Linked DNA regions of Mus musculus. The protein of the gene in region 1 interacts with the protein of each later gene in a biochemical or structural test. Links are inferred from orthologs where the notes say so. Each region holds a gene or a part of one and is shown on either strand. Other genes may lie near its edges.

Region 1 (4,187 bases):
GTTGCTCTCAAGAGCCCAGAACAGTGTGAGGTCTCCGGAAGCTGCAGTTACAGTTGCTGATAACTGGACTCTGGTCTTCTGCAAGGGCATTATCGACTCTTAACTGATGGGCCATCTCTCCAGCCTGCAACCATCCTTTTTTAAAGAGCATCTTCTGTAGTTCTGGATGGGTTCAAACTATGTAGAGGAGGATGACGTTGAACGTCTGACCCCATGAGCGCTGGGATTACTGGAGCATCCTGGAGTCAGAGATCAAATCCCAGCTTCCTGCAACGTTATGCAAAAACTACTGAGTTCTCATTTCTAGCCTTTACTTTTTAGTAAGGACGCTGGTATTCATATTAACTTAAATTGTAACTATATGTGTTTTTACAAGTGGTTCATGTGAGGACCAATGATGGCTGTGTGCCATTAATTGGAGATTATATTCATTCTGTCGCCTTGACATCCGCCCTCGCAAAATATTAAACTGCTTTTTCTAATCTGCGCCAAGTGAGAAACTGAAATGAGTGGGAGGGGCGTAACTATTTTCACTTTTGTCTTCCTGTTTTTTTCAGAGCCTGGGAAAGCAATTCAGAATTTCCAATCTTTTCCAATTCCCACATGATTTCCTAATTTAGAGAAAATAAGTCTTTCTCTGAGTGCTGAAACCTCCTGTGGCCCGGGAGGCGCCTCCTCCTTCTGGCATAGTGGAGGCAGCCTGATGTGTTGCGTCCTCCGGCCAGAGTCCCCACACTCAATCTGCACACCTGCCCTTGGCTTAGATGGCAATTTTTGCTCCCTACAAACGCTTTCCTCATTGGAGCCTGGACTCCTGGGAGGCCTTGAAGGAGATGTTCACGGTGTGACCCTAGCTGGTTCCGGAGATCCCTAAAGATCTAAACCTTAGCAGACAGCACCTATGTGTGCAGACGAAGCCCTGGGGCTCTTCCAGCACTCATGGCTCTCAGGGACTCTTAGAGGTACAGGTGTCTGCCTAGTCCTCGGTCTGCCCCTCTACCCTAAGGCCTGTCGGATGCAGCACGCTCGCTCCGCGAAGCACTCCTGCGCGCAGCCGGATCTAGGTTGGGGAGCATGTGGCCCGTAGCACGCGGGTCCCCAGAAGGCCCCTGCACGCTTAGGAAAACGTGTGGAATTCAGTCACTGGCCTCCGCGGGAGCAGCAGGCCTGGGCCTCTCCCTGCGCAGGGCGAATGGCCGCAGCCTGCCACCAGCCCTGGCTCGGCTCCAGTCCCGGCCAGGGTGACATCACCAAACTCCTGAGATCAGAGCGGGGCGGGGAACGGGACCCGAAATCCCCTAAAAACAGAGTGAGTAATCGCGGGCCCGCCCTCCAGGCGGGGCCGGGAACGGGACCGGGACCCCGAGCGAGCCGCGCTGCGGAGCTTGTAGTCGGGCCGGCCTCGGGACAAACAGCCTCGGCGTCCTCCCGCCGCGCTGCGGTGTCCCCGCCCGCGCGCCCGCCGCACACCTTCCGCGCCCAGCGTGAGTCGCGCACCTGCTCTCGGCCCCCCACGCGCGGCGGTGGCGGTGGCGGCGGCTCAGCGCGCAGGCGCGGCCGGATTCCGGGCAGTGACGCGACGACGGGCGCGCGCCGCGCATTTCCGCCTCTGGCGAATGGCTTTACTTTAGCGCGCCGTGGGCTCAGCTGCGACCCCGGCCCCGCCCCCGGGACCCTGACCATGGACGGTGAGGCTGCCCTCTGGCTCGGGGGATGGCTGCCCTAGAGCTCCGGGGCCTGCGGCGGAATCTCCCCCCTCCCCGCGCCGTCTTCCGCCCCTTTCTGCGCCGCGGGTTGCTGCGCAGGGAGCGGCAGGCCGGATGGTGGCACGGGGCGGGGCGGGCTGCGAGGGGGTCTGACTCAGTTACCCCTCTCAGTGGAGGGCGCCTTGACTCAGTGTCCCTCCTGGGTGGGGGTACGGGTGAATCTTGACTCCGTTTCCTCCGGCTCCCCCCACCCCCGTGTCGATGCGATTAGTTCTGGCTTCCTTTCCGTGTAAGGAAGAAAGTATCTGACTCAGTTTCCCCAGAAGAGGAGAGGAGGGTATTACCCCCTCCTCAGTGTCACTTATGAACGTAAAACAGGCACTGACTCAGTTTCCCCTGGCAAAGGAATGCCTCTGTGTCCCCTTTCTCTAGTTCCCCGGCCTCTGTCAGGGCAGGTTTCAGGGTCTTGGCTCAGTTTTCTTGGAAGGGAGGGAGCTTGGCTCTGTCAGGCCTTCGCAGGTGAGGGTGGGCACTGGAGTTTATTGACAATGTGCCTTGTCTTTCCCTTTCAGATCTGTTTCCCCTCATCTTTCCCTCAGGTAAGTTGGACCATCCATCCTCAGTAGTCAGGGGCTGTCCTGGAGTCGGGGCCGTGGGGATAGCACCTGATGGCTGACTGTGTCACCCACAGAGCCAGCCCAGGCTTCTGGGCCTTATGTGGAGATCATCGAACAGCCGAAGCAACGGGGCATGCGATTCCGCTATAAATGCGAGGGGCGCTCAGCGGGCAGTATTCCTGGCGAGAGAAGCACAGATACCACCAAGACACACCCCACCATCAAGGTAAGCAAGAGCCCCCAGGGGTGTCGCTGGGACACAGATGTGGTGGAACGCACTGTGCAGCCCCAGCAGACTTGCCTCCTGGTCACCGTGCCCTGTGTCTAAGAGCCAGATTAGGGATTGCTGGCCACTAGAGTACTCTGTACTTTGGACAGATCAATGGCTACACAGGACCAGGAACAGTTCGAATCTCCCTGGTCACCAAGGATCCACCTCACCGGCCTCATCCACATGAACTTGTGGGGAAGGACTGCCGGGATGGCTACTATGAGGCTGACCTCTGCCCAGACCGCAGTATCCATAGGTGAGTTCCCTATGGGCTGGGGGTGGTGTGAGGGCAGGGTAGGAGCAGGCCGGCCAGGCAGCTCTTACAGTGTTGCTCTTTTCTAAACACAGGCAGAATCCAGAGTTCTTAACTCTGTCTCCAGTTTGCAAACAGACCTCCTTTGTCTTGAATTCTCTAACAGTTGGGAACTCCTTATCTTCTTAGAGCCACAAACCCTATGGCTGGACAGGCCAGCCTCTTAGCCTCTTGGATCAGAAAGATATCCAAATGGACCCTCCTAGAGCTTAAATACCAGTTGGTAAAACCAGGCGATAATTGTACAGACAGATAGACGAGATACTGGTAGAGAATTATAACTTCCATGATGGAAAGAAAACACAGTTATAAATTAGGAGGAGGAGTCTGGTCTCAGGAAGCTCAAGCTGGCCTTGAACTCGTTAGGGTTCCCCTGCCTCCTCTTCTCAACTCCAGGGGAATAGGCATGTAGCACCGTGTCCTGCTGCACAGGTCTCACGACTTTGGGTTGGAGGGTTACAGAAGGCCTCTGTGCTAACTCTTAAATGGTGAGAAAAAGCAGACAGACCCAAAAGAACATTCCGTGCACGAGAAAGAAGTACAAAAAAAAGCAAGCAAGCAAGCAAGCAGTACGATGCCCTTGGAAGGGGAGTACGTTCCATTTCGTGTGCTTAGGTCTGGGAAAGGAAGCCCCTGTGGCTGAGGTGGGGCACTGGCTTGGAGGCCTGCGAGGGCCAGCTCCCTCAGAGACTTGCCAGTGGGTAAGGAGTGGGAAGCCTAGACATACCTGAGAGCTGTGGAGTTGGGAGGCAAGAAGGGGCTCTGCTGGAGACACAAAACTAATACCTGAGGCCTCAGCTTCCAGAACCTGGGGATCCAGTGTGTGAAGAAGCGAGACCTGGAGCAAGCCATTAGCCAGCGAATCCAGACCAACAATAACCCCTTTCACGGTAGGAGCAAGGGGCAAAGACATTGATCTTCGTGTGGTGCAAGTATCTCTGTCACCTTCCCTGGGCCTCTGCCGCTCATCTCCCTCCATGGCCAACCCAGCAGCAGGAGTGGAACCTTGCTGCCAGCTTGGCACACACTCACACTCTGCCGTTGAGAGTCAGGCCTAGAGAGGGCTCCTGGAGAGCCGTGATGGATCTAGGGTCTTCCTCCCCTTAGACTTCTGTTTTACATCTCCTCAAATCACCTTCCTCTTTCCTCAGAGCTCCCTGGCCCGTCCCCCCTCCCCCACCCCCAATGCCTTCCACCACAGTGTTTTGTTTTTTGTTTTTGTTGTTTTTTTGTTTTTGACAGTTCCTATAGAGGAGCAGCGCGGGGACTATGACTTGAAT
Region 2 (3,484 bases), on another chromosome or scaffold:
TGTAAATCCAGAGGAAGCGTGCAGAATTGTATAAGAGCTTTTGGAGGTACATGACTGGGTGAACCATACAAGCTATTTTATCCAGGCTGAGGAACTACCCTTATTTTCGAAGCCCTCGGAGCCCTCAGAGGAGCTGCCTGAAGGATCCCAGCGAGGATACAAGTCTGCAGACCTAAGAATGGAACCTCCTACAGTTCTGTTCCCTGCGACCTTACCCAGAATTCCCGAGCCAGCAAACTAAGGAGGGCATTCAACATGTTTTTTTTTTTTGTTTGCATGGCCACTGGGCCTAAAGGCAGAGCCCTGTGTATGTTGGGCTCCGACCTGCCCCAGCGCTGTAGTGCTAGCTCCAACAAGCCATCTCTGTTTATATTTTATCTACTTTAATTTGTGTGTCTGTATGTGCATGTGTACACATGCATACAGTAACCTTGGAGGCCAAAGGCATTAGATCCCCTAAGAATGGAGTTACAGGTGGTTATAGGCCAATGGAGGTCCTGGGAACAAACCAGGACCTTTGCAAGAACAAAGCCATCTGTTAGTGCAGCAATGAGTTTTTGGGTTTTTTGAGACAGGTATTCTTATGTAGCCTTGGCTGGTCTTGCCGTATAGATCAAGCTGGCCTTAAACTCACATCACAGAGATCCACTTGCCTGACTGGATGCTGATGTTGAGATTATCTGTGAGTGCCACCGCACTCTAACAAGCCATTGTTTTGTTGTTTTTTGAGTGTTTCCCCCCCCCCCCTTGGTTTTTTTTTCTTCTTCTACTTCTTCCTCTTTTTTTTTTTTTTTTCTTTTCGGAGACAGGGTTTGTTTGTTTGGCCCTGGCTGTCCTGGAACTCCCTCTGTAAACTAGACTGGCCACAAACTCACAGAGATACACATGCCTTGGACTCCCAAGTGCTGGGATTAAAGGCATGGGCCACCACTGCCCAGCCCCACAAGCCTTCTTAACAGATTCTCCCTGTAGGCCTATTGGATAGAACAGGTCCTAGTCTGCCAGGTACAGTGGTACATACTCTACACTAGCACTCAGGAGGCTAGGAGACAGGATTGTGTGGTTAAGGCCAGTTTGAGCTACACATTAAGATCCTTTCTCACCCAGTACGGTGGTGTACACGTTTAATCCCAGTACTTGGAAGGATAGGTGGATCTCTGAGTTTGAAGGCAGCCTGGTCTACAGAGAGTTTCAGGACAGCCAGGGCTACACAGAGAAACCTTGTCTGCGGTATCAGAGGAGGGGGTGGGAATTGTGTCAAAAATGGAGAAGGTGGCATTCTGGACCCCCAAAGCCTATGAGCAGCGCCCCACTCGTATCTACACCCCTTCCAGGTGCGGTTCCCATCCCACTTCAGCTCTGACTTGAAGGACCTGCTGCGGAACCTTCTGCAGGTGGATCTCACCAAGCGCTTTGGGAACCTCAAGAACGGGGTCAATGACATCAAGAACCACAAGTGGTTTGCCACGACTGACTGGATTGCCATCTATCAGAGAAAGGTGGGCTTCTTTTTCCCATACCCAAAGTTGGACTTACGGCTAGGATAGCATAGACAGCCCATTAAGTTCCAGACTAAACAGAAGGCTTCCTCAAGCCAGTAAGGGACTATACATGGTGGATACTGGGTTTTTCTGGCCACTTTGTGGTCTTAGGCAGGAAATATCCTCTGGGAAGTGACTTCCATTTGATAAGTTGGGTTGCAGAGAAGACCTTAATGTTGAGCTCAGGCCTGGGTCACAGCAAGTGTTGTTTGAATATTAAGCCATTCACCTTTATTGTTGTGATGGTAAGGTCAGCTAATGTGATCTGGGTGGTTTTGATTCCTATCCAGGTGGAAGCTCCCTTCATACCAAAGTTTAAAGGCCCTGGGGACACGAGTAACTTTGACGACTATGAGGAGGAAGAGATCCGGGTCTCCATCAATGAGAAGTGTGGCAAGGAGTTTACTGAGTTTTAGGGGTGTGCTTGTGCCCCTTGGGTTCTCTTTCATTTTTTCTTTTTCTTTCTATTTTTTTTCCGGTTGGGGGTGGGAGGGTTGGATCGAACAGCCAGAGGGCCCTAGAGTTCCATGCATCTAATTTAACATCCACTCCACACCCCCAGGGTTAAGGAGAGCAGGAAAGCGCTCCAGATACTGGGGAAGGGGCAACATCAGCTGCTCCCCCTCTCCCTTCTTCTCCACCCTTCCCTGCCTGTTTTCAATGAATTTCTTAGCTCCAGCCATACCCAATCTTGCTGGTGTATCCAGGGGCAGGGTACGGAAAGAGGGCCCCAAATTCAGCCTCCTTCCCGACCCTAGCACTGGATACTAAGGATGAACGAACAGTAACGCCAACCTTCCCTTCCATGCAGCCCTACCTGGAAAGGGAGATTTTATGACCTGTACAGAGGGCTGCTTGCCAGTGGGGTTTTTTTTTTTTTTCATTTAAATTAAGTTCCACCAGTGCCTCCCACCCTCCAAACTGTCCCACCCTCCCCAAACACCCTCCTCACTCCCTAAATCCATTCTGATGAGACCCGGGTAGCCAACTGACCCTGTCAAGGAAGGAACTGGGCTTGGAATCTCGCCCTGAGCTGCTAGCCTCCCGGCCCCCCTTTCCAGTGGTCTCATGCCAATTGTCCTGTGCATCAGCCCCCTTAAGAAGCCTCCCCCATCCTGGGCGCCTCGCTTCTAGCTTAGCTGTCAGCTGTCCATCACCTCTTGCCGTGCGTCCCCACTCACTGCAACCCCAAGTCTGATTGTGCTTTTTCTCTCAATAGAAAGGTGGGGAGCTGCTGGGGAAATTACCCCATTTATCCCTGTGTTTATCCCTCTCGTAACTTCTCCCAAAAAGGAGGAGCTCTCAGGCCTGGGTGGGGGCCCCGGGTGGACGAGGGGGTCGTTCAACCTGTGTGCTTCGAAGGATGAGACTTCCTCTTGAACAGTGTGCTGTTGTAAACATATTTGAAAACTATTACCAATAAAGTTTTGTTTTAAAATAAAAGTGTCGCTGGTTTTCCCGACTTCGATCACACCCTTGGGGTGTTGGAAAGGGAATTTCGAACCTCAATGTCCAGGTTCTGGAGACCCCGGCCTCGGGACCTTGGAGAAACCAGGTTTGGCTGGAATTCCTGTACTTCCTCCGCCTGGCCAGAGAAAGGAGGGGTGGGGTGGGCAAACTGTCCTTTGACCCTGAGTTCGGGGCCCTCAAATCTGCTCCCACCCCTACTTCGGTCTAGTCCGGGACAGAGAGGGCACTGGAGAGGGCCACTCGGACCGGTTCGGCCAAACAGCAGCAGGATTAGCAGGGTAGGAGAAAAGGGGAGCCCCGCGCGCCCCCAAGCCCTCATGTAGGCGCGGCAGGGCCGCTGGTGAGGTCTCCGCGGCTTCCCAGGAGCGAGGCGCGTCCGGCCGCGGCGCGGCTAGTTCCCGGTAAGTGCGGTCCCGAGAGCGCTGAGCGCGGAGAGGCGTGGAGAGGGGGCTGGGCGCCGAGGACGTCTGGGT
Region 3 (3,248 bases), on another chromosome or scaffold:
ATCAGACTCAGCCTGCAGGCTAAGCAGGTGCTCTGTTACTGAGCTACAGTCCCAGCTGTATTCTATCCCAGCAGCAGCTCAGGGAGGTCCAGGAGGGTGGGTGATGCAGATGAGGTGACTAAAGCATAGGAAGTGAGTGTCAGAACACCGTGGGTGGCTCCAGCCGCGTCCAGCCTCGTGAATCCACATGTCCTCCTCCCTAGTTTATTCATGGAAATTCTTAATTCCTGTTCGGATTGTGATGAGATCCAGTTCATGGAAGATGGATCCTGGTGTCCGATGAAACCCAAGAAGGAGGCATCAGAGGTTTGCCCCCCGCCAGGGTATGGGCTGGATGGTGAGTGACCCCCTGCTCCCCAATTGAGCTAAGTCATGGCTGGCCCTTTCTCTGAGACAGCCTTCTTAACCACCCACAGGTCTCCAGTACAGCGCAGTCCAGGAGGGAATTCAGCCAGAGAGTAAGAAGAGGGTCGAAGTCATTGACTTGACCATCGAAAGCTCATCAGATGAGGAGGATTTGCCCCCCACCAAGAAGCACTGCCCTGTCACCTCAGCGGCCATTCCAGCCCTTCCTGGAAGCAAAGGGTATGAGAAAGGTTGCTCCCATAGCAGAGGGACAGAAGTCAGAACTGCCTTCTGGCCACAGGTCGAGCTTTGGGACAGGGAAGAGCAGGCGGAGTGGGACGTGGGGCATCTGCGCTTGGCTAGCTCTCCGGCTCTTTCTCTCCACTCACAGAGCCCTGACCTCTGGTCACCAGCCATCCTCGGTGCTGCGGAGCCCTGCAATGGGCACACTGGGCAGTGACTTCCTGTCTAGTCTCCCGCTACATGAGTACCCACCTGCCTTCCCACTGGGGGCTGACATCCAAGGTAGAACACTGACCCTAAGGTGGAGGGGAGGGTCGTTCCCTGTCACCCTCTCCAGACCTGTTTCTTTGCCGAGCCCCAGGGACAGGGGGATTTTTTTTTCCCCTTGTGGTGAAGGAGTCAGAAGGGAGTTGATTTTGATTTTTCTTTTCCTACCAGGTTTAGATTTATTTTCTTTCCTTCAGACTGAGAGTCAGGTAAGTGGCCATGTTTAGGAAGATCCAAGATCTCGGAAGAGTCCATTCTAGACACATGATGTGCTCTTCCCCTGCCCAGTGTCCCTAGGGATTTAAAAATGCTTTCCTGTGAGGGGAGAACATGGTCCTTTCCCTGCCCCCGTCACTCCATAGTCACACCTGTGATTTCGTAGCCCCACTCTTCCTGCTCACTCACCCCCACACGGACTCAGAACCTTCCCTAGTGGATGTTCCACACATTTCAGACACCCACAAGGCCAAGAACTGGATGTCTGAAGGGGCTGTCTCAAGGCAAGGCACAGGAGAAGGGTCTGGGGGAGTAGGGTGGAGGCAGAGGTTCCCAGCTTTTCTTCTCAAGAATGCTGTATGATCCCTGAGGGCTGGTACCCCACGAGGTGGTTCTGAGGTGAGTGAGGTGCTGAGTCAAGACAACACGTCAAGCTGTGCCCTTCATCTCTCCAGCACTACGGCCCTTCAGTTATCACTTCGCTAGATGAACAGGACACCCTTGGCCACTTCTTCCAGTACCGGGGAACCCCTTCCCACTTCCTGGGCCCACTGGCCCCCACACTGGGGAGCTCTCACCGCAGCTCCACTCCAGCGCCCCCTCCTGGTCGTGTCAGCAGCATTGTGGCTCCTGGGAGCTCCTTGAGGGAAGGGCATGGAGGACCCCTGCCTTCAGGTCCCTCTTTGACTGGCTGTCGGTCAGACGTCATTTCCTTGGACTGAGCTTTTTGGATTATGAAATCAATCTCCATTGGCCCCAGCACTGAGCAGATCACGTTGTGGGTTCCGAACCCCTGGCTGCTCTGATCCCTCAGGGGTCATTGGCCAAAGGCCAGGCCAGAGCTTCATGGATACCTGCTTTTGGCCTTATCGCTGCCTAACAGGCCAGTACTCACAGGGTTAACATTTAACCTTTTTATGGTGGCACATTCCTCTGGGTATGGTAACCTAGGCAGTGGGAGGCAGATGGGATAGGGACTGAGGGATGAGGGGGTCCTTAGCCTTTACCAGATCTTCAGCCTCTTGGGGAAAGGCACTTTCCTGCCTCCTCTCCCAAGACTCTCCGTTCCCTACCCAAACCCAAATATCTGGTCTTTGACATCCATTCCGTTCTCTTTGACCATACAGTCGGGCGACAGGTCAGAGATGGACAGAGAACTCTATTTTGGATTGCAGATTTCTTTTTTGTACATAAATAAGAAAACTCCAAAGCATCCAAAGATGAAATCCCTTGCCTTTCACTCCCCAGTGTGACTCGAGGAGGAAACAAGGCCTTAGTTGTGATTCCCAGGGGCTGGGGAGCAAGGCGTGGCCTGTCTGCTGCCTGGGTCTCTATTTATATATTTAAGTTCACAATGTTTTTATGCTAAACAGCCAAGGGGCGAAGCGTCTAGTGGCCTGTGTTCAGGCCTGGATTACTCTTGCACCTTTTGTGGGACATGGGGGCTCTGTGTTCTCCTCCCCAATACTCAGGCCCCTTCCTTCAGGGCCAAGGCCCTGTGATGTGATTTTACTTTTATTCCCAAAGTTGTAGCAGAGTTCTCGCCTACAATAAAGGTTGTGAATGTTCTGTGAGCGTCATGGAGGGGAAGGGATGTTGTACCTCGCTTTCCAGACCCAGGGTTTGTGGGGCAGAGGGTCCATGTTCCATCCTTTCACTTAAAAAAAAAAAAAGAACATTTAAAGTGTTTATTACTGTGTATGCGGGCACGTGCACCATGGTTTTGCACGTGGAAGTCAGAGGGCAGCTTTATGGAGTAGGGCCTCTCCTTCCATCTCGAAGGACATCCCAGGTCTTGGGTTGACAGGCTTCCTTTGCTGGTCTGTGGTCTGTGTGGACGTCACTTTTACCTGGGAGGGAGTGTGGGCATTCGCACAAGCATAGCCAAGAGCAGTTGCTTTCTCTTTGTTTCTTTGATGTCCCTAAAAACATCATCTGGTACCAAGACTATGCTACCCGCAAGTCGGTCCTTACCTCATCTGCCCAGATGTTGCAACCAGAGCTGGAGGGCAAACTTGGTTCCAGCGCCGATCCTCTCTTTGTCCTCCTCTGCTGTGGTTGGGGTTGTCCGCATGAGTGTGGGCATGGGCAGGACCAGAGGTTGGGTTCCTCCATCGTCCTTCAGTTCGGTTGCACTGGATTATAACAGTTTCTGTCTGGGTTGTGCCTTGTAGCTT
Region 4 (3,043 bases), on another chromosome or scaffold:
GGACATTGTCAGTCATTCAGATGTTTGATTTACAGTGAATGCAGAGTGCTTAGTGTTCTGCACTGCGGGCTTGGGTCCTTCTCCCCCTAGTGACACATACCCCACTGGTGTGGACACTGGAGAATGGTGTTATAGACATCAGTAGGTCCTAAGTGTAACCCCAGCCTTTAATAAGGAAGCTCGGAGCCGAGCGTGGTGGTGCACACCTTCAATCCCAGCACTTGGGAGGCAGAGGCAGGCGGATTTCTGAGTTCAAAGCCAGCCAGGGCTACACAGAGAAACCCTGTCTTGGAAAACCGGAAAAAAAAAAAAAAAGAAGAAGAAGAAAGCTCTTGGCCGCAGAAAGACTTTATCTCAAAAAGACAAAGCAGAACAGATTAAAACTTTGTATGTGTCCTAGTTTGTTCTGTCTTCTCTTTTTTTAAGTGGGTAAGCAGACCCAGAGAAAGCAAGCTTTCTATGCGTTTCCATGGGCCCGGTGGTGGCCGTGTCTTTATCTTCACTGTTCTCTCCCGTTGCCCGCAGAGCTGCCCTACAACGACTACTTTGAATACTTTGGACCGGATTTCAAGCTTCACATCAGCCCTTCCAACATGACCAACCAGAACACTAACGAGTACCTGGAGAAGATCAAGTGAGTGTGCTGCCAAGTTGTCTCAGTTTAACAGGCCAGTTTCTGACTTGTCTCTGACTACTACAGCCCATCCACCCTCTCTCCTGTAGGCAGCGTCTCTTTGAGAACTTGAGGATGCTGCCCCATGCCCCTGGGGTCCAGATGCAGGCCATCCCTGAGGATGCCATCCCCGAAGAGAGTGGGGATGAAGATGAGGAGGACCCTGACAAACGCATCTCCAGTAAGACTAGCTCCAGGGGCCTGTCCCCTGCTTAGTAGGGAGCTCTGCACTTCCCTTCCTCCTTTTCCCATCTCCAAGCTGCCCAGCTGTGTGCAAACATTTGTTTTGAGACCCCTTGCCTCCACCCGGCTTGGTAGCTTTCCTTGGTGTCTTGATGAGGGGTGCTGGGGATGGAACCCGGGGTCTTCTCATCCAGGCAGGTACTCTGCCACTCAGTATCTGTGGCAGGAAGGCACTGGGCCCCTTGCTCTCATACCAATGTTTCTCTCTCTGCTGCCTCCCAGTCTGCTCCTCTGACAAACGCATTGCCTGTGAGGAAGAGTTCTCGGACTCAGATGAGGAGGGAGAAGGTGGTCGCAAGAACTCTTCTAACTTCAAAAAAGCCAAAAGAGTTAAAACAGAGGATGAGAAAGAGAAAGATCCTGAAGAGAAAAAAGGTGAGTTTGGATTAGATCAGGAAGGAGCTGACCCAGACCCAGCCAGCTCCTTTGGAGCTTAAACTGGAGGTTTGAGTCTTGAGTCTTTCAGTGGCTCCTAGAGGTGGTGAGAACCACAGAACAGTGACAGTGACACTCTTGGTCTCTGCTGGCTGACTGACCCTGGCTCACATACCACCCAAGCCCTTTTCCCAGTTTCCCAGGGGGCTGCCTCTGCCTGTGTTCTTGCTGAAACAGGCTGGGAAACCGGTCTGACCTGTTTTCAGCCAACCTCACCAGAGGACCTGGGATAGGCTTTTCTCATTTTTCTATAACCAGTGAACTGTGGTATTGAAGAAGGGGTTTCAGGATAGAGGAGTCCGACTACCTGAGAAGCCTTCAAGCATACCTGTTCTCTTATTTTCTAGAAGTCACAGAAGAAGAGAAAACCAAGGAGGAGAAGCCAGAAGCCAAAGGGTGAGGAAAGGGGCTGGTGGCTCTCTGTAGCACTAGAGCATCATCACCTTCTGTGTCCTACCTCTGTGAGAGGGAAGGAAGAGCAGGGACAGCTGCTGGTCCAGCCTACAGAGAGAGGCCTCTTTAAGGGTGGAGTCTGTATGTCTCTGCCCAGTTCCCAGCAGTCACCTGGGCAGCCAGGGTCTATGGAAGTCACTATAGCCATGTTTGTGCTTCAGGGCCACTAGCATGAGTTTTCTCATGCCTGTCTGTTCTCTCTGCAGGGTCAAAGAAGAGGTCAAGTTGGCCTGAGCAAGGTCTGCAGCCCCATCTTCTCCCCAAGTTCCTCACTTCTCAGATTTTATATTTTCTATTCCTCTGTGTATTTATATAAAATATATTAACTATAACGTCCCCAGGGACCAGAGCACAGGGCAGTGGTGCTAGGAGGGCTCTTCCCAGAGCGACCTTGTCCATCCTGCCACCCCCCTCCCCCCATTTGCGTGGAAAGAAAACAACCAGAAGAGAAAAATCCTGAACTGCCAAGTGCCTGCTTAGGAGCTCTGCTAAGATGCCCCTGTTAAACTTTTTAGGAGGGGTCTGGGTCTCCTAGGACCCCTTTTCAGGCTTGGGTAATAGCAGCCATTTTTAGATTGGTTCTGTTTATACCTTCCCACCCATCTTGGGCAAACAAAAAAACTTATATTGCCTGTCTTCCCCCAATTCTGTAGGTGGAGGTTGATAGCCTAGCTTCCTTTTTGAGATATTTTCATTTTGTGAAACTCTTTGTAATAAAACAGCTCATTTCTATACCCTCGGCCCTGGTTGGTTTAAGTTCTTCCCCGTCTCTTGTGGGGCGTCACTTGCAGACCTACCTGCCTTTGTCCTCCAGGTCGGTGCAGTCCTCTTACCCACACCCCAGAAGACCACTCAATGAAACATCACTAAAGGGACGACATTTATTCCTTTTCCAAATGTTACAGTAAATCCGGGTGGAAGAATGGTTTTAGCAGTTAGAAAAAAAAAAAGTACAAATCTGGGGTTTGGCCATTAAAAGTTATTTACAACAATGGGAGGGGGAAAAAAAAAGACAACAAGAAGTTGTTTCACATTACAGACCTCCCTCCCTCCTGAAGCCTAACACTTGCTTATCAAGTCAGAGACATGGTTGATTTCACAAGCTGGAGGTTTGAACTTGAGTAAGACATTTATAAAAACCCAGATGGGGCAATGTCCTCCCCAGCCCAGGTGCCACTAGGCACAGCACAAGAGACTAAGAATTCAACAGGGGAAAGGCTGGACACTCAGGGTTTGGGA
Region 5 (3,500 bases), on another chromosome or scaffold:
TAATGTCACAGGATGGCACTCTTATGTTCTTACAAAACAACTGTTAGTCCTTGAAAGTAGCAAAGGTGAAATAGTCTCAACAGCTCTGCCTAATCTTATTCATTCAAAACTCTTTTAGGGCTGCAGACCACACGATTGGGAAACCACTTAGAAGACAGAGTGAATAAGTTTTTGCGGCGCCAGAATCACCCTGAAGCTGGGGAGGTTTTTGTCAGAGTGGTGGCCAGCTCAGACAAGACTGTGGAGGTCAAGCCGGGAATGAAGTCAAGGTTTGTGTTCTTTCTTCCTGTCCTAAACTGTGACTAGACCCTACCCTGTCTTTGGAGGACTCAAGTGTGACGTCTTTATACAGAAGCTTTGTGGCAGCTAGCATGTGACTTTCTTTTCTGAATCCCAGTTTATTAGCAGAGATGTCCCTCCCTTCCCTAAGAAACAGGACTAGGAAGAGCTACCATACAGCCCTGAAACTGCTATGGCTGTTGTTGCAGGAGGTTGCCAAGCCTTGAGCTCTTTGACAGAGCAGGCTTAGCTCAGGAGCAGTTGGAACACAACACTTGTAAACACCAGGTTTTGGCTTGTTTCAGGTTTGTGGATTCTGGAGAGATGTCGGAATCTTTCCCATATCGTACCAAAGCACTCTTTGCTTTTGAGGAGATCGATGGAGTCGATGTGTGCTTTTTTGGGATGCATGTGCAAGAATACGGCTCTGATTGCCCCCCACCAAATACAAGGTAGTCTTCCATCTTACTTCTGAATGTGTCTTTTAGCCCTATTTTGTATGATCAAGGCTCAGGTTTATTTAAGCTGTATATTTTGGTGCTAGATTAAGATAAAGCCATAGCTAACTGACTTATACAGTTAGTTTTTGTTTTGTTGTGTTGTTACTGATGCTGTTTGCTTGTTTGTTTGTCCCAGTAAACTCTTAGGGGAGGAAGGGTCCTGGTAGTAGTGTTGCATGCTTTTTGTGTGTGTGGCCTTAGTCTTGTTTTGTCTTACCAAAGATAGTCACTTGGGGGCTAGGGTAGCAACAGCTAGATGCCCTGCTCAAACTAACTGCCTCTAGTCCAGAGTTAGTTTTAGTCTGGACTTTGGGTGAGTGGGGAAAAAAAAGTGGATTTTCCTAAGTTGCCCTCCCCGGGGAGGGGGGTTAGTTTCCATATCTTTTGTTGGATAACAGAATATTACTTCTGTTTCAGTTACATGGCCTGTGACTACTATCAAACCCGATTTCTGGGGGTTTTTAGGTGTTGGTATTTGTGTTCAATCTTGAGGGGCACCTGAAGTTAAATAAAAATGACACCGCTTTCTATCCTCCACAGGCGTGTATACATATCTTATCTGGACAGTATTCATTTCTTCCGGCCCCGCTGCCTCCGGACAGCTGTTTACCATGAGATCCTCATCGGATATCTCGAGTATGTGAAGAAATTGGGGTGAGTCTGGATTAGTCAGAATCAATAAAAACATTTTTTGTCTATTTTGTGAAATAGTAAGTTTTTCTCATCGAGTTTTATGTGTTTTATTCTAACATATCAAGGTTGGTTCAGAAGTTTGCTGAGGTTCCCATGCGTCCAGAGCACAGTGTCTACTCTGCTTTTGCTTGCTTTTCCTTTTTTTTCCACTTTATTGAGGCATAATCTTCATATCATGCTTTTTGCCTCTGTTTCAGGTCTCGGAGTCGATGGTTTTTAGTGTTGTTGGTAACTGGTGTAACTATTCCCATTGGTCAGTCTCCAAGCACCCTCACTCCCACACAGAGCCCTGTGCCCTCTTGCTGCTACTGCCTGTCCTGCCCCTGCTCGCAGACAACCATTCATCGACTTTGTGTCTGCACATTTCTCTTTTTTGGTCTTCTGTTAGAATTGGCAGTCATGATTCAATACACAGTGTTTCTGTTTATACATATTTTCCCAAACCTGAAAGTGTTTGCTTAAGCGTCTTACACAGAGTAGCTAAGATTTGTTTGACATGAATTACCTTCCTGAGCTGCCTTTCCAGTGCACAGGAGGAGGAAGTAAGAAGGAAACATCCCTTAACTCTGTCCCGCCAAACTCAGCTCCATGCATTTCTGAGAGCAAAGTGCTCAGAACTGAATCTAGGGTTGAATTTGCAAGTGACGAAGACAACACCTCCACTCTCCCTCCCTCCCCCCCATTCACATACTGGTTTGGAGCCCAAGTATTTTATAAGAATTACACTAGCATTATGGTTGTGTCTTTTATTTTTGTCTGTCTTCATATTTATTTCTGACCTTTCTTTTTTTTTTTTTTTTTTTTTGGTTTTTGGTTTTTCAAGACAGGGTTTCTCTGTGTAGCCCTGGCTGTCCTGGAACTCACTCTGTAGACCAGGCTGGCCTCGAACTCAGAAATCCACCTGCCTCTGCCTCCCGAGTGCTGGGATCAAAGGCGTGCACCACCACGCCTGGCTACTGTCCTTTCTTTAGTTCCTTAAGTTCATTAAGTTGCTTAAGTTCTTAAGCTACAGTTCATCAAAAGTAGATCTGAATTTACTGACACTTCTGTCTGGCTTTTTTCGTATGTATCCTGTAGGTATGTGACAGGACATATTTGGGCCTGTCCCCCAAGTGAAGGAGATGACTATATCTTTCATTGCCACCCCCCTGACCAGAAAATCCCCAAACCAAAACGACTACAGGAGTGGTACAAGAAGATGCTGGACAAGGCGTTTGCAGAGAGGATCATTAACGACTATAAGGTAATCCTGCTGAAGGAGGGCGCTGGGCTTGTCACAGCTGATTGACATACATTGTGTATTTTCTTCTGGCACTCTGCTTTATCATTATGATCACTTACAAGAAATAGAAAGCAAGAGCCTGGAAGCATCTGGTGAAACTGCAGAATGAACTGCACAGTTGGTCAAAGCAGTGGGCCTTTCAAGCAGTCACCCCAGGAACCTCACCCCACCTCTGTTCTGCCTCCTCCCAGGACATCTTCAAACAAGCGAACGAAGACAGGCTCACGAGTGCCAAGGAGTTGCCCTATTTTGAAGGAGATTTCTGGCCTAATGTGTTGGAAGAAAGCATTAAGGAACTAGAACAAGAAGAAGAAGAAAGGAAAAAAGAAGAGAGTACTGCAGCGAGTGAGACTCCTGAGGTATAGCCCCCTACTAGAGCTGTGCCACCAGAGTGGCAGGCTGGAAGTATACGCTTGCTATACTATTTCTGTGGTGATGTTCTCATTCACATACATAGAATATCACCAACAATGATAAGCAGATGTGATGTCTCTATACAAGAGATACTTCCTAGGGGCCTAGTGGTTAGACCTGGAGAGTAGAGGAGAGAAGTAATGTCTTATTGGAGCCAGAAAAGTACATGGAGGAAGGTGGAATTTACTTGCAAGTGTTCTGAAAGTTACTGCAACTGATCTTCTGGCCTTGTGCTAAACCTTGTGGCAGCTCATTTTGTGTTGCCTTTTATCCCCCCTTTCTCAATTTGTTCACTGTTTGCTGTCCCTCTGTACCAGGGAGTACAGAGTGAA
Region 6 (3,169 bases), on another chromosome or scaffold:
AGAAAGGGAAAGCAGAGTAGGAAGTGTTCCCTTCACCTTCCTCTCGGCCCAATCTCTCTTCCAGCTACACAGGGACACAGACACCAAACAGGCGTGCGGTCTCCCCCACACCACCAAACACACAGAACTCACCTGCCCTGACCCAGCTGTCTGGACTAGCCTTTCCTACAGAATGTCTAGTCCTCTCAACACAAGTCTGACACTCAAACCAAGCCGAGGGCGGCCCGTCCCAAGCAGGGTTTCTAGCAAGTCCCCCAGCACCCGTGGGTGCTGAGTCACCCTGAATTCCTGACCTGGCACTCTGCCCCCTCTCCTGGGGGGAGGGGCTGACACCCCATCTGCCATGGGAAGAGAAAAGCCCAGATGCGACACCCCCACCCACCGCCACACACAACCCAAAAATAACCCGCAGCCCCCTACACACCAGAAACACAAAAACAAAATCTCGCATAAATCCAAAGTCGGGAGGGAAGAAAAAAAATTTTTTTTCAAAAGCCAACTACTGCCCCCAAAAGGCTTTTAAACATTCTCCAAAAAAGTTTATTAAAATGTCTTCACTTTAATGCTCGAAACGGAAAAGGTTCTCAAAATATACATACGCCTCTTTTCTCATAGAAATAGAACTTTTTTATATAATACAAAAAAAATAATAAGACCAAAAAAAAAAACAAAACAAAACAAAAAACAAAAACAAAACCAAAAACATCAACAACCCCGCAGGAACATCTTTAAGTGATTACTCAGGGCCCGGCTGACAGTTACACGTGTGTTGCGTCAGTCCCGTGTCCACACGCGCTCAGCCACGTTTGATCCGGATTGCATCAAGTCCCGAAACCCGGTGCGCTGTGCAGGTGCGTGCGCGCGGTGCCCGCGGTGTGCCCGCGGTGTCCCCTCGGTGCAGGTGCAGGTGCGCGCAGGGCACGCACGGTGGTCCGGGCGCGCGCGCGGGGCCGGAGCGCGCGGGGCAGGGCGCACGGTGCCCAGGGTGGCCGCGGCGCCCCCCACGCCACCCGCGCCGCGCTAGCAGTGGCCCGCCGAGGCCAGCAGCGGCTCGGGCAGCTGCTTGAACAAGTTCCGCAGGGTGCTGAGCTCTCGCGACAGCTGCTCCACCTTCTTCTGCAGCCGCTCGTTCTCCGCCGTCAGCTCCAGCACCTTGTGCTGCGTCTCCAGGTTGCGCATCTTGGCCTTGTCGCGGCTCTTGCGCACCGCGATGTTGTTGCGCTCGCGCCGCATCTTGTACTCGTCGCTCAGCTTGTCCACCGTCTTCTTGGCCTTGGCCTTGGCGGGCGCGGCCGGCGGCCCCGCGAAGCAGGCGGCGGGCGCGGCCTTGGCGTCGGCGGGGCTCGGCGTGCCGGGCGGGCTGGACGACGACGACGTGGACAGGCTGCCGCTGCTGCCGCTCGGCGTCGCCTGGTAGCCCAGGTAGGCGCGCAGGGCGAACGGGAAACCGGCCGCCATGGCGGGCGCGTCGTCCGCGCGCTTGCAGTCCGCGGGTTCGAAGCCCGGCTCCGCCTTGAGCGCGGCGGGAGGCGGCGGCGGGAAGCAGGCGGGCGGCGCGGCCTTGGCGCCCGCGCGGCCGAGGCTCACGTAACCGTAGTCGGCCGGCTTCTTGCTCGGCTTGGCGCCGTAGTCGTCGGCGAAGAGGTCGGAGAGGAAGTCGTGGTGCGCGGGCGCGGGCGCGGCGAAGTCCGCGGCGGGCGCGAGCGGCTCCAGGTAGGGGCTGAAGTCGATGGCGCGCTCGTGCTCGCCAATGGCCGGCTCGGCGGCGGGGGCGCGCGGCGCGGCGCGGGCCGCCTTGGCCCCGTAGGCCAGGCAGTCGGGCTCGTAGTAGAAGTTGGCCACTTCCATGGGTCTAAAGGCGGCGGGCGGCGGCGGGAGGCATGCTGCGTCCCAGGCCAGCAGGCGGTGCATGAACGCGGGGCCCGCGGGCTCCGCTGCGTCCCGGTCCCGTGCGCGGCTCGGACTCGGCGCGGCGGCGGCCGAGCGGGAGGTTTATAAGGCGGCGCCTGGCAACGGGCTGCGTCACGCTGGGGCCCCTCCCGCCGCCCCGCCACCCGGTCGGTGCGCGTCATTGCCCGGCCACGGGAGCGCGAGAGGGCGCGGCGGGGAGTGGGGCGCGGCGGGGGTCCTCGCGCGGGAGGCTGAGCGGTGACCCGGGCGTCCCGCCAGCCCCGCGATGGCCACGGACGCGGGTGACGCCAGCCCGCCCCCTTCCCGCCCCTCGGGAACACGGAGGAGCGCGGCCGCCGCCCGCCCCCTGCTGGAGGACGCGGTGGCTCGTCCCGGCTCCGGTCCGCTGTCCCGGACCCCCAACTCTTGGGAAACAGATCGTTCCTCCAGCTACACGACCCCAACCCTCGGATCCTGCCCGCTGTCCCCGGGCCCCAATTCCCTGGAAGCAGCCTTCCACGGGGTGCATGTCCTCCCACCCAGGTGCTGCCCACACCTCTGGGACCCCCCCCCCAACTCCTGGGAAGCAGAACTCTCCAGGTGCACGCCCACCCCGGGGATGCTCGCTGTCCTGGATCCCAGCCCTCCACCCTATGTATGGCCCGCCTACCGCACCTGCCTACGCCACTCCCTGCGCCTCTCCATGAAGGTGGCAGGGCTGGGGGTTCTGCCACACTGTGTCTGGGTGAGTCACTTTGCTTCTGAGTTCCCTCCGTGGACAGTGTTGGTATTGTTAGTAGTGGTGTCATCAGAGACAAACGGACCCCCGAGAAGTACGATGCCTTCCTAAGACCTGCACAGCCCTGCCCAGAGGCTTCTCAGGTGATTGCGGTGGGAGCATGGTAGACCCCACTCCAGCCATAAGGACCCAGCGGTCACCCTGCAAGCTGGGGAGGCAACCCCTCCACCCCGTGCACTTGAATGGGCTGGGATCACCAGCCTCTCTCCGGTGAGACCCTTTTGAGGACGCCCAGGGCAACTCTTGGGGCCCACCCTTCTGCCACTCCTAGGTGGGCCACTCAAGCAGGAGCTGCCAACCTGTCAGGGGCTGACCCCCGACCCATTGACCCCAGCCCTGGCCCCGGCAAGCTGGCGGGGTGTTGCTCAACCTTCGGTGTTATCTGCTGAGCTGGGGTGACCTCCGCCCCCAAGAGCTGGAGAAATGACATCTCCCTGTGCCCTTGGGGGTGGGGGGCAGGGAGGGAAAGGGTAAGACGCT
Region 7 (4,184 bases), on another chromosome or scaffold:
CACCGCCCCCGGTCCGGCCGGGTGGCTCGGCTCGGCTCCTCCGGTCCGCGGCCGGCCAGGCGGGGCCCGTCGCACTCAGAGCGGCAGCCGCCTGGGGCGCTCGGGTCGGGTCGGCCTCACCGACGCACAGCACCCGCCAAGCCGCCGCCTCAGGTCAGAGTCGCCCCGGGCCACGCGGCCCGCCGGAGGGACGCGGAAGAAGAGACCTGGGGCGCTGCGCTGGGGTATTGGGTCGCGCGCAGCCTGAGGGGACCGAGTGTGACGACAAGGTGACCGGGCTGAGGGGACGGGCTGAGGAGAAGTCACACTCTGACAGGAGCCTGTGAGACCAACAGCCTGACGGGGTCTCGGTTGAGGGGACGCGGGCTGAGAAGTCACGTTCTGACAGGACTGTGTGACAGACAAGGTGAGGGGGGGTCTCGGCTTGTGGGGTCTGGATCTGACTGGCTAGGTGACTGGGTCTCCGCTGAGGGGACTCGGGATGAGAAGTCACATTCTGACAGGGCTGCGTAACTGACAGCCTAACCCTGTCTCGACTAGAGGGGATACGGGCTGGAAAGCCACACTCCGACAGGACGGAGAGTGACCAAGTGACAGAATCTTGACTCAAGGGACCCCGGCTGAGGAGAAGGCAAACTCTTGACAGGACCGAATGTGACAGACAAGGTGACAGAGTCTGGGTCTGAGGGGATCGCGCGGGCTGAGGAGAAGTCACACAAGAGAAGAGCGAGAGAGTGATAGCGGGGCGGGGTCGCGGACTCAGGGACAGAGTGAGGGGTCTCGGCTGAGGACCGGTCACCCTCCTGGAGAGCCGAGTGTGACTGACAGGGTGACTGTCCTCGTGAGGGGCACCGGCACGGTGCGGAGGGCCACAGTGCTTCCCTGAGAGGGTGCGCAGGCAGGCATGTGTGTGAGCGCGGAACAGGGTTGCCCCTGTTCCAGACCCTGACAGGAAAGCCAGGTCTCCAGAACTACCGCGTTGGGGACCGCATTGTGCGGATCCTGGTGACAGATTTAGAGAGGGGCTCGCCAGCAGCCACCGGTCGCCCTGAGGCTCTAGGGGTCGGAGGGTGGGGAGGAGGATGCGCCCGTGATCACGGAGGCGATTTGGCCCACGGCCCCCTGCCCGGGGCTCACCAGGTGTGAGGAAAGCGGGGTCACTGTCGCCAAGGCCCCGCCCCGCCAGTGCCCCTCTTCAATCTAAGCAGGGGGCGAGCACAGGGCCCGGCTCACGGGAGTAGGCAGCCCTCGTGCTGGGGGCGGAAGGTGGGTGTGTGGCTCCCGGTGCTTTATGGCTTGGGATTGGGGAGGAGCCTAAGGTGAGGAGGCAGAAACTGGGAGTAGCCTGGGCTGCTTTTATATAAGGGACGCGAGGAGGTCAAGAAGGGGCCTGGACCTCTGCTGGGGATCTGAAGGCTGCAGCGCTAAATTCTTCTTAACTCCCATTGAGTAGGTGAGTGGCCCCATCGTCATCACGTTTTTGTTGGTGTGTGTAGTGAAGTGGCCAAACTGCCCCCAAGTTCTTACACATCAGGATGGTCTGGCTGTGTTCTTGTACTGTTAAGAATCTGCTTTGCTTCTGATGCTAATAGGGGGGAGGTCGTGCCATTTATTTCAGAAGGGAAAAAAGAAAAGTTAAGTTTTCTGTGAGGAAGAGGCTAAAAGGTGTCCCTTTTTAGCAGGATGAAGGACAAAAATGTAAAATTAAATGATCATTTGAAAACAAAACCAGATGAACCAAGTTGTAGGATAGCTAACAGTTGGAAAGCCTCTTGATTTGGAGTTCATTATTGTAATGTCAACTCTTTATTATCATGCACGAAGCAAATTGTTAACTGGAGTTATTAAATGAATAACTTAGTCTTGGACTTGGGCAGGTCTTCCAAAGATATCAGGTGCTCTGTGGGAGTCTTCCTGTCGTCCATAGCTAAGTGATCAATTGCTGACTAAAAATGTAACTAACTCCAGGTGCTCTGTGATTTAAAACCTGGCTAGGGTAGGAACGGATATACGCTATGACTACTCAAAGAGATAGTTCTCTTGCAAGTTTGACAGAAGCACTCATAGATACTACGAGCATTTGGAGCAGCATTTCAGAAGATTGGGTTTCAACTTTAAAATAAGTTCTCTGTTGTCTTATCTTCAACCACATTTGCTCTAAAGTAAATGTCCGAAATATTAATTTTAATATATGAACATTTTAACTCAGTGTCATGCCTTAGTTGGAGTGAAACATATTATAAAGCCCTCGATTTTTATTTTACTGTGTGTTTTGTGTAAATTTGCTCACTCCAGTGCTACTTCATATTTAATTTGCTGAGAACTATATCTTCAGTGAGAAGATCTAAGGAGCAACTGGTGGTCACCTCACGCTTTTGCAGCTCACTAGAAGGGAAAAGATTGTTGACAGTTTTCTTTTTAAGGAAAAAAATCTTTTTCATATGTAAAAGTTTCAAACTCTTCAAACTGTTGAAGAACAATGGCGCCGGTGAAGTCTGAAGTTCTTGATGCCTCTAGGCCGAAGAGTTTTTTGATGCTGTTTCCTCGGTCTTTTATATTTCAAAGATTATAAGTTCTTCTAAACACATTAGAACTAAAAGACCTGGAAACATTATACACATCAATACTTAAGACTACTTTGATATTTTTTGTGATAACTATTTTTTAATAATTAAGTATATTTCCTTTAAAGGAGCTGGTTTTCCTAACATTCATGTCACTACATCTTTCAGAATCACTTTAACAGAAAAGGGCAAATTACACTTTAAAAAAAATCATATCTTTAGTTTCAAAATCCCTATGACATTTAAAATTCATATATGAAAAGCATGACTTTAAATTTTTGACGTAGAAATGGATTATGCAAGTGACTGATTTCAGTTAGTAAGTTTTACATATTTAAATAAATGATTTTTTTTACTTTTAAGTCTCTGAAAAGAATATTCCATCAGTCTTGTCAAGATCCTTCTGTGTGGGGAATATGTAAAGGCACTGTGAAAACATGTATAAGGATCAGCAATGTATTTAACTTACTTTTCAAATTATGAAGTGGTTGCTAATAGAAGGAAACTTACATAAAAATTTTGTTAAAATAATTTACCCAAAAGTCTGAATATTTTCACAGCTTTCACAGGGTCTGTAGGTGCCCGGTGCGTATGGCAAGACATGTTGGCCATTCTAATTTGTGTCTTTCTGCTAAATTTATTGTCATGTGGACTTGGAAATATTCTCTGTGTCATAAAGTGAGGCAAAAATACTGGAAGAATTTTTTTTTTTGCTTTCATAGGATTCCACTAAGTAAATATTGGTAGAAGATTTAAAAAAATACTACACTAGTCAAGACAATTTGATTTAAGTCAATAGTATGTAATTTTAAACATATGCACAACCCACAAATTGTCAAAGTGAATTTCTTTCTTGTTTTTCTTATTTTTGTGGCAAATTTCCCTGTTATCCATTACTTAACTTCACTTTCTTAACGCCTAAATACAGCAAAAAGGGCAGCGGCATGATTGCTTACAAAGGTCACTAGAAACAGAATTAAGTTGACCAAAAAAAAAGCAAGGCCAGTTAAATGTTGGTCTCAATACCAAGGGAGCCTCAAATACTATATATTAGTTAGTTTCATAGCATATGAGGTTTTTTAAAAAAAAAATTAATTTTTTTTCCCCTAAGGTGGTTTTTGTTCATTTCTTGTAATTTTCTCACAATACAGGGGGAGGTTTTTGAGAGTTATACATTATCTATTTTAAATTATATATATTAAATTTAATAAATTATCCAGCACAACTGCATTTATAAGGAGATCTCAAACACAATAGGCCATACTTTGGCGAAATGTACGGTTCATGTTAAGATAATATCTACCACTGGTATGGTATATCCTTAAATCATTATCTTAAGACCTAGCTTTATTCTTACTACTTCTCTTCAGTTATACGTACATATCAATATTTTAATCAAATATTCTGTTTAGAACATGGATGCATATGCTGCTTAACTACTCCAATTATTATGTTCTTTCTAAGTATGGAAAGTTAGGGAAGCTTAAAGTTATGAGTCTTTGTTTCTATTTGCTTGTCTTGGGTATGGTTTTAAGACTTTTATCAGCAAGCCTGGATTTCCTAAACGATAAGAGCTGGGCCCTGAATTTACCCGAGCTGAGATCCTAAAGACAGCCTACC

What was found.
Region 2: of the proteins of Rela (region 1) and Prkaca, one has a biochemical effect on the other in vitro, tested with the Homo sapiens proteins (4 studies listed by BioGRID and IntAct, with this or other methods). The link is inferred for Mus musculus from reciprocal best matches to the Homo sapiens genes RELA and PRKACA.
Region 3: the proteins of Rela (region 1) and Pias3 form a complex in vitro, tested with the Homo sapiens proteins (2 studies listed by BioGRID, with this or other methods). The link is inferred for Mus musculus from reciprocal best matches to the Homo sapiens genes RELA and PIAS3.
Region 4: the proteins of Rela (region 1) and Hdac1 form a complex in vitro, tested with the Homo sapiens proteins (2 studies listed by BioGRID and IntAct). The link is inferred for Mus musculus from reciprocal best matches to the Homo sapiens genes RELA and HDAC1.
Region 5: the proteins of Rela (region 1) and Crebbp form a complex in vitro, tested with the Homo sapiens proteins (9 studies listed by BioGRID and IntAct). The link is inferred for Mus musculus from reciprocal best matches to the Homo sapiens genes RELA and CREBBP.
Region 6: the proteins of Rela (region 1) and Cebpb form a complex in vitro, tested with the Homo sapiens proteins (2 studies listed by BioGRID). The link is inferred for Mus musculus from reciprocal best matches to the Homo sapiens genes RELA and CEBPB.
Region 7: the proteins of Rela (region 1) and Pparg form a complex in vitro, tested with the Homo sapiens proteins (3 studies listed by BioGRID, with this or other methods). The link is inferred for Mus musculus from reciprocal best matches to the Homo sapiens genes RELA and PPARG.

Annotation. Positions count from the first base shown.
Region 1 is NC_000085.6:5,636,154-5,640,340, forward strand, and holds the start of Rela (transcription factor p65), read left to right. Parts: upstream 1-1,387; 5' UTR 1,388-1,681; coding exon 1,682-1,688; intron 1,689-1,810; exon of another isoform or gene 1,811-1,967; coding exon of another isoform or gene 1,968-1,995; intron 1,996-2,278; coding exon 2,279-2,305; intron 2,306-2,397; coding exon 2,398-2,549; intron 2,550-2,701; coding exon 2,702-2,850; intron 2,851-3,705; coding exon 3,706-3,797; intron 3,798-4,149; coding exon 4,150-4,187. UniProt on the Homo sapiens protein: NF-kappa-B is a pleiotropic transcription factor present in almost all cell types and is the endpoint of a series of signal transduction events that are initiated by a vast array of stimuli related to many biological processes such as inflammation, immunity, differentiation, cell growth, tumorigenesis and apoptosis.
Region 2 is NC_000074.6:83,993,461-83,996,944, forward strand, and holds the end of Prkaca (cAMP-dependent protein kinase catalytic subunit alpha), read left to right. Parts: intron 1-1,334; coding exon 1,335-1,499; intron 1,500-1,831; coding exon 1,832-1,957; 3' UTR 1,958-2,984; downstream 2,985-3,484.
Region 3 is NC_000069.6:96,703,323-96,706,570, forward strand, and holds the end of Pias3 (E3 SUMO-protein ligase PIAS3), read left to right. Parts: intron 1-203; coding exon 204-337; intron 338-416; coding exon 417-585; intron 586-736; coding exon 737-870; intron 871-1,026; coding exon 1,027-1,064; exon of another isoform or gene 1,065-1,526; coding exon 1,527-1,793; 3' UTR 1,794-2,748; downstream 2,749-3,248. Other genes in the region: Nudt17 (nucleoside diphosphate-linked moiety X motif 17), read right to left, coding at 3,047-3,206. UniProt on the Homo sapiens protein: Functions as an E3-type small ubiquitin-like modifier (SUMO) ligase, stabilizing the interaction between UBE2I and the substrate, and as a SUMO-tethering factor.
Region 4 is NC_000070.6:129,515,604-129,518,646, reverse strand, and holds the end of Hdac1 (histone deacetylase 1), read left to right. Parts: intron 1-525; coding exon 526-634; intron 635-723; coding exon 724-854; intron 855-1,138; coding exon 1,139-1,291; intron 1,292-1,698; coding exon 1,699-1,747; intron 1,748-2,010; coding exon 2,011-2,038; 3' UTR 2,039-2,543; downstream 2,544-3,043. UniProt on the Homo sapiens protein: Histone deacetylase that catalyzes the deacetylation of lysine residues on the N-terminal part of the core histones (H2A, H2B, H3 and H4).
Region 5 is NC_000082.6:4,091,405-4,094,904, reverse strand, and holds part of Crebbp (histone lysine acetyltransferase CREBBP), read left to right. Parts: intron 1-118; coding exon 119-269; intron 270-584; coding exon 585-731; intron 732-1,319; coding exon 1,320-1,433; intron 1,434-2,549; coding exon 2,550-2,715; intron 2,716-2,945; coding exon 2,946-3,113; intron 3,114-3,500. UniProt on the Homo sapiens protein: Acetylates histones, giving a specific tag for transcriptional activation. Mediates acetylation of histone H3 at 'Lys-18' and 'Lys-27' (H3K18ac and H3K27ac, respectively).
Region 6 is NC_000068.7:167,687,764-167,690,932, reverse strand, and holds Cebpb (CCAAT/enhancer-binding protein beta), read right to left. Parts: upstream 2,019-3,169; 5' UTR 1,912-2,018; coding exon 1,021-1,911; 3' UTR 501-1,020; downstream 1-500. UniProt on the Homo sapiens protein: Important transcription factor regulating the expression of genes involved in immune and inflammatory responses. Also plays a significant role in adipogenesis, as well as in the gluconeogenic pathway, liver regeneration, and hematopoiesis.
Region 7 is NC_000072.6:115,360,965-115,365,148, forward strand, and holds the start of Pparg (peroxisome proliferator-activated receptor gamma), read left to right. Parts: upstream 1-1,384; 5' UTR 1,385-1,453; intron 1,454-4,184. UniProt on the Homo sapiens protein: Nuclear receptor that binds peroxisome proliferators such as hypolipidemic drugs and fatty acids.